Oryctolagus cuniculus: one gene and its partner. The protein of the gene in region 1 purifies or fractionates together with the protein of each later gene. This does not show direct contact. Links are inferred from orthologs where the notes say so. Each region holds a gene or a part of one and is shown in the gene's direction. Other genes may lie near its edges.

Evidence for each region. The genes of interacting proteins can lie anywhere in the genome.
Region 2: the proteins of RACK1 (region 1) and LARP4 purify together in Homo sapiens (affinity purification with mass spectrometry; 3 studies listed by BioGRID and IntAct, counting the BioPlex papers as one, with this or other methods). This does not show direct contact. The link is inferred for Oryctolagus cuniculus from reciprocal best matches to the Homo sapiens genes RACK1 and LARP4.

What each region holds. Positions count from the first base shown.
Region 1 is NC_091445.1:34,938,565-34,942,311, reverse strand, and holds the start of RACK1 (small ribosomal subunit protein RACK1), read left to right. Parts: upstream 1-1,085; 5' UTR 1,086-1,772; intron 1,773-3,747. UniProt on the Homo sapiens protein: Scaffolding protein involved in the recruitment, assembly and/or regulation of a variety of signaling molecules. Interacts with a wide variety of proteins and plays a role in many cellular processes.
Region 2 is NC_091442.1:54,154,396-54,158,142, reverse strand, and holds the start of LARP4 (la-related protein 4), read left to right. Parts: upstream 1-954; 5' UTR 955-1,321; coding exon 1,322-1,411; intron 1,412-3,223; coding exon 3,224-3,371; intron 3,372-3,747. UniProt on the Homo sapiens protein: RNA binding protein that binds to the poly-A tract of mRNA molecules. Associates with the 40S ribosomal subunit and with polysomes. Plays a role in the regulation of mRNA translation.

The sequences.
Region 1 (3,747 bases):
TTGTTGCTATTCTTGTGCTGTCTTTTATGCTACAGTGTCTGTTTAAGTGTTTACAGGTGTTGATAATGGAACGAACCAAGGTCTTCACCAACCCAGTGGTCTACCAAATGCTGCTACAGGGATATACTCAGCTCCCCACCCAGGAGACAGCAGCTTGAGATATTGCCCCATGCTAGCAAAGAGTACCTCGATGCCCCATGTCAGCAGGAAGTAGCTCTAAAGACAGATCATCGTCCCTCTACCCCTCCTGGACTTTTGGGACAAATGTAATTCCATACAACTCCTGTTGGGAATATGGCACAGTTTTATCCATGGCACGATCTACACCCCAACACCATCTTAGGCTCTAGCCCCTGCTGGCATTGCTGGAAGCCTGGTGTCCACATGGCCCAACCAACGTTGTCAAGTTCCACACCCATCCTAATGGGATTTGCTGCTCCTGCTTCCCTGCCCACCCTCTGGTAAAGTTTTAAAAGGAGCTGTTCCTGAACACATGGCTCTCTCGCTGTCTCTCTGCTCTCTTGGCTTCTCTCTTGCTCCCCTCCCTCCTCTCTCTCTTTTTCCTCTCTCCTCTCTCCTCTCTCCTCTCCTCTCTCTTCTCTCTCAGCTCCTCTCTGTTCTCTCTCTTCTCTCCTTGCTAGCTCCTCTCCTCTCTTCTCTCTCTCTCTTACACTCTCCTTCTCTCTCTTTTTCCTTCTCCATCCCTTCCCTCTGGTCCCTTTCCCTTACTCCAGTGTTTGGTGTGTTTTGTGATGACCTTACATATTCAACTCCTTAATCTTAAGTCCTTTAGTATGTACTCAGTTCCTTCCTTAATGCCATTTAGTAGGACTTTTGTGGCTCTCCTAAAGACCCTCCTATCCAGTGTATCACCTCTTGGTTTAACTCACTCTTTGCTTTGATTACTACAGTAGCTTCCTAATTCTTGATTCTAGTCCTACTCCTTCAACCCATCCCTCACTCTGATAAAAAATGCCTTCTGGTAAAATAAAATCTTGGTAGGAGAGAGATGAGGTCAGAATCCTATAGAGACTGCTCTGGGTTTAAAAATAATAACCAAATTTCTTATATGTAAATGTCTTCCAGACTACCTTGGATTTTAATTTTTCTCACCTTACCTCTCAAAGCCATCCCTCTGTAGTCAAGCTGATATCTCTGCCTGAAACAACCTTCTTTAAGTACTTTTACCATTCAGCTGTAAAAAAGAGCCCTGAGGGGATTCAACTACATATTGAGGTAAGGACCACTACACTGCTATGAGAGCTCAAACAGTAACTTGCCCTAGACCTGAGGGTCACAGCTGGCTTCCCTGAGGAGGCAACCTGAGCTGACATGCTCAAAGAAGTTTAGATTTAACTACAAGAAGGGGAGTTGGATATGGGAGGAGGAGCCTCCCAGGCAAAAGAACAATGTATGTAAAGGTCCTATGTGGATAGAATTGAGGTGTTGGAAGAGGAAGGGAAGATTAGTGTGGCCACAAAATATAGTGCAGTCTGCCAGAGCCAGTCACACTGATTCCACAGAGTGATAGTAAAAATTTTGGTTATTATCTTAAAGTATATTGAAAAGCCCAGAACTTTAGCGGGCATTCAATAAACCTCTGGTCCTGGCCACACACTTGTCCTTCAGTCCTTCACAGGCACTCACAACAGCCTTCATCTCTGCATTTGAGGAAAAGCTGGACAACCCCTCAAACCCCCCACAGATCTGAACGCTGGCAGGACAGGATGGAGGCCACTCCTCCTAGAGAAGATGTTATGTATCTCTGTCAGGTAAGCCTGAGGAGCTCTTTCCAATCATGAAGGTACTTGGGACCCCTTCCAGAAAAGAAATGGTGACACAGCCTTTATTAAAAGAGCCTCTCCAATTTCTCCTTAGGATTATTATCTTGTGTGGAAAGGAAGTGGTGTCCATAGTCAGACATGGGAGAAAAGGAGCAGTTTAGGGACTTGGAAGGAAAGTGGAGAGAGTGAATTAACATGAGTTACAGTCAGAAAGGGCTCTGTCAACAGGGTGTGGACCACCAATGAGCCTTGCCTACAAAGGCCAGAGGGCCTCCAGTAGGCATCCCCACTTCCTTGAAGCTGGAGTGAGAAGGAAGAGGCAAGAAAGCCTTACCTCACAGGCACAGGTGGACTTCTTGCAAGAGGAACAAAATGGAATGGGTCAGGCTCCCTTTGGTGATGGAGGGTCAACTAACACATCTCCATTGCAGAGATGGGGTCCCTGGCCTGAGCCAGGTATCTATACCTCTCAATTCCAGCTGGTTGCTAAACGTGAAAGGCACTGCTCCTCCCATCCTGTTGCTGCTATAAACAATACCTGAAATGGTTTCTGGATAAGGATGATGCTTCCCTTGGTTCAGAGTTGTCCTTCAGTGACCACTGGGGCCTGCCAGCATCTCTGGTGAAGGCAGGAATGACTAGAAGAAAACTACAGAGGAAAAGCCTAAATATTGCAGGACTTGATAGTCCAGAGAGCCCCCATACAGTCTACTCATCTCTCTACTTCCAGTGGCAACTCCATCTGGGTCCAGATAGACTCCAGGATAAAACCAGCATGCCCTCCCCCCCCCCCAGCCCCATAGGAGGAAGGCATGGCCAGAATCATGTTCTATAGATTGAAGAATAACTTTGGGGAGAAGCTGGTGAAAGGTACCTTCTGAAGTCTCTTTTCCATCTATCAAGGAGGGAAAACATGATGACACTTGGGCAAAAGAGAAGCAGACCCTGAGAACTGGGCACAAGCAGGGAAGAGAGCAGTGCTGGTCCTAGGAACCTCCTATATCTGTCAAGGGAGCTGGCAGTGGCCTCTTCCTTGAGTGTGTGTGATTGACCCAAAAGGTCTTGTTTTAAACCTGAACTCCCAACCCCACCTCAGGAATGCTGCTTCCAAAAGGCTCCCTAGGCAAAGTTCAAGAAACAGAATAGATTAGTTTTCTTCAAAGGGAGAAAAAAAGAATTATATTATCTGAGAGCTGATGTGAACCAAGCATGAATGAACTGTATGTTCTTGAAGGGAGATTAGAAATCCTTTCAGTTTATAGACCTTCAGCCAGGAAATCCCTCCCAGTCTACACTGTGTTGCAAGTGTAGCCATTCACCTCTCTATTTGTGCCAAGTGCTCAGGAAAGCTCTGGTATGACCCTAGTCATTGGCAGGAAACTAATCATGAGGGTAGATGATGGCAGGGATCTTCCATGACCACCACTGGAAATATAAAGCACAAAAAGTTACAAAACACACGGATTGCAGTGTAGTTCAGTATTGGAAAAACAAAAGGACTGCCAATTGGGGGTGCCAAGATGATGTACAAGTCTAGGGCCTTAAGAGGACAGCATCTTGCAGAATCCAATAGAGACTACAGAGGAAAGTAGCAAAGTCTGCAAGGGACCAAGATAACAAATAGTCTCTAGGTGGAGATCCTGGCTTTTTCCACACACCTGGGCAGCCACTTCCCATTGCCTGTCTACCTTCCAACAAGACTTCCAGGTAGCAATGTCAAGTTCTTTTGCCAAACCTGTGAGAGTGTATGTCTACTATCCTCCAATACCCCAACTAAGGATCCTTGAACTTTTTTTTTTTTTTTTGGTAAAGATTTATTTATCTATTTATTTAAAAGGTGGAGTTGTAGAGGCAGAGAAAGAGAGAGAGAGAGAGAGGTCTTCCATTCACTGATTGACTCCCCCAAGATGGCCACAACAGCTGGAGCTTGGCCTATCCAAAGCCAGGAGCCTAGAGCTTCTTC
Region 2 (3,747 bases), on another chromosome or scaffold:
CTTTTTTTTTAACATGCTTTATGAAAGGATATGAAGCATTTCTACTGAATCTTAACTGTTTAATAAGAATTAATAAATGAGGAATTCTTACCCCAATTTACAATGAGAAAATTGAAGCTTAGATTTGTTAAACTTCCCAAGATCATACATGATCTCAAGTTCACGTTAGAGCTCTGTTTTCAATTCAAGTGGGGTTCTAAAGCTTCAGTCACTATGTTTAGATAATAATTGCTTGTGGTGAACTACTTTGAAATACCTTTTTTGCTTTTCTTACAGCTACATACCACTCTTCATAGTTAGGGGTACTTCTTATAAGTTTGTGTGGCGCTTTCGTTCTGTCCTTTCCAGGTATAGCTCTTATTCCTTCAGTTTTTTATATTGTATTCTTTGATTGTATTTATCAAGATTCAGAAGTCTGATATCTCTGAGAGATGTACTCTTTTTGTCTGCTGTCTTCTTGTCTGGAGGCATATTGGATACTGAGAATTGAGGAGAGAAAGAGAGTAGAAATGTAAATGTAGATCTTCTATTAAAAGGACTTAATATCAAATTAAATACTGGGCACATAGCAGGAGAGCTGGGCTATAACAAGATCCTCATAGTTCTATTCCACTACCAGTCAGAAACTATGCTGAAGTTAGTCATTTGATCTACTGGTTGAGACACTGTGTCTCATTTCGTGTGACTGGGCTTGATTCTCAGCTCCAGCTTCTGACTTCTTGCAGAAGCAGACCCTCAGAGCAGCAAATGATGGTTCAAATGATTGGGTCCTTGCCACCCACATGGAAGACCTGGAGCTCCTGGCCTTGGCCTTGCCCAGGCCTGCCATTACAGGCATTTGGGGTGTAAGCCAGCAGGTGAGAGCTCTGTTCTGTCTGCCCGTGTCTCTCAAATTAAAAGGAAAGAAAAGGAAATTATTCTGTACCTAAATTCCCAAATCATAATCACTGATTAACTCAGCTCAGTGGCCCACCAAAAGCACAGTGGTAGGAGAGTACTGTTCTGATGCAGACAGGCAGGGGATGTATTATCTGTAGAGAATTGTAAAACTGACCAAAAAAATATGCTTTTTGTTGTCAGACACCTAGAAATTCTAAACTGCGACATTAATAAAGTACACCTTACTGTCACTGCCATTTCAAGGCACAACTTTTGATCCAAAAATAGGAATAGACCTAGAAAAGGCATTGTATCTAGTCTTTTCTTTTTCCAGACTGCATCTCAAGATCTTTCTTTCCAGTTTATAAAAGGAAGCAATGAAAAAGAAATATGGCAAGCAATAGAGTATAATTAAAGAATATTATTTCATTGGCTCATAAATATGTTACTTGTGTGGTGTAGAAATGCATTCAAAGAAACTCAAGTGAAGAAATCAGAAGAGTGCAGGGGGATTCCAGGGACAGAACTGCAAGTAAGTAGAATTAGGCATCCTGGAAGCTGAAGCTTTAAGACAGCAGCTTAGTGTGGGACCTCCGCAGATCTGTCCACTCAAAAGTTGTGCCTTAGTTGGACATATTCTGCTGTTGGTAATACCTTAAAAGCTGATGTTTGTTTTGTTTTTAACCATGACAGTCATTATTAAGAACCCCTGCAGGTAGGGAGAGGTTTTTTTGGTTTTGTTTTTTTGTTTTTTTGTTTTTTTTTAACAGGCAGAGTTAGACAGTGAGAGAGAGAGACAGAAAGAAAGGTCTTTCTTCTGTTGGTTCACTCCCAAATGGCCGCCATGGCCAGTGCGCTGTACCAATCCGAAGCCAGGAGCCAGGTGCTTCCTCCTGGTCTCCCATGCAGATGCAGGGGCCCAAGCACTTGGGCCATCCTCCACTGCCTTCCTGGACCACAACAGAGAGCTAAACTGGAAGAAGAGCAACCAGGACAGAATCTGACGCCCAACTGGGACTAGAACCCAGGGCACTGGCACTGCAGGCGGAGGATTAGCCAAGTGAGCCGCGGCACTGGCCTGTTTGTTTTTTTAAGATTTATTTATTTTAAAGGCAGAGTTACAGAGAGGCAGAGGCAGAGAGAGATCTTCCATCTACTAGTTCACCCCCCAAATGGCTGTAATGGCCAGAGCTGAGCTGATTCAAGCCAGGAGCCAGGAGCTTCTTCTGGGTCTCCCATGTGGTGCAGGAGCCCAAGTACTTGGGCCGTGTTCTACTGCCTCCTAGGCCATAGCAGAGAGCTGGGTCAGAAGTAGAGCAGCCAGGTCTTGAACTGGTGCCCATATAGGATGCCAGGACTGCAGGTGGTGGCGTTACCCGCTATGCCATTATAAAATCCCTAACCCCTGCAGGTAGGGATTTTATAATGAACTCCTGATACATGGTGTAATGTGCTAGCTCTCTTTCATGAAAGCTGAATTCCTGGTGCCTTAATCTTGATTAAGTTCATTCTCTGCCCTTTGAGCCCACCCTTGGGAGCCTATCATCTATTGGTAGTGGTAGGGGTCTACCACTGAGAAGGGAGTAGAATAACTTTTTGAGAAGAGGGTGAAATGTTTACTGGATTATTAATGTCCTTGAGAAGGATGAGACCCTGTTGGTTTGGATAAGGTGAGAGGAGTGTATTTGTGCATCTCACCGTCTCTTCCTTGCTCTGTCTCTACCTTTTCACACTCTTAGCCCTGTTCTGTTCTCATGCTCAGTTTTTGTGGTTAGATAAGCCATGTAAAAGATCAGTTTAAATGTTGGTATCTCAGTATGATTATTGTGTTGTACACACTTGAGGATGTCTACCTTGAGAAGAGAGGGAAGAGAGCATTCCAAAATAAGGCAGATGCTGTGATACAATTCAAACTCAAATGTGTGACACAGCTTGGATGACAATAAAGATGAGGTACTCTGGAAAATTACACTACAGATAAACTCAGAAATTTGCTATAGATACACAAACACTAATGCCTCAAAGATATGTGAACAGTTTGAATTTTACGACATTTACAAATGGGTTGGGGTAGAACAGTATTACCATTTTAGAAGTAATTTATAGGGCTTTGCATTGTTTGTAAAATAGATGGCTAAATTTTATATGGACATTTCAAATTCATTACTTTAAAAGTTTTATATTTTGAAACTGACCAATAATTTTAATGTTAACTGATTTCATTTTATTTAATATAATTATTGGAAAGTATTTCACTTTTAAGTAATGTAGAAGCCCTTTGTCTAAATTTGCATTTCTTTTAATGCACTTTTAAATTTTACAAATAGAATCTTTGGTTATTTAGCAGGTAACATCTAAAGGAACTGGTTTAAATCCCAACGCCAAAGTATGGCAAGAAATTCCTCCTGGAAATCCTGATGCCACTCCTGTAACTCATGGAACGGAAAGTTCTTGGCCTGATACAGCAGCCACATCAGGGTCCCCTCCTGAAGGTAAGTGCGAAGTGTTTTATCAGAAATATCACATTTTGTTTAAATGTGTAATCAAATCAGTTTGTAGAACTTGGACTTACATTCTTTGATTATGTGACTAAATACACTTATAAATGTTTAGTACACAGTTTACATGTAATTCTCACTCATCTAATATGAACGGATTGTCAGTAATTCCAAGTAGCAGCTGTATTGTTAAACCTAGCTTCTAACCCATTTATAATAACCTATTTATAAATCAGTTTTGCTCTAACATCATTGGCTTTGCTGTTTACTTACTGTTTGACCTTTATCAAATGACATGACTTCTCTGTGCTATTTCCTTCACCTGGAAAACAAAAACTATTACAATTACCTGTAGCAGGGGTAGGGAACC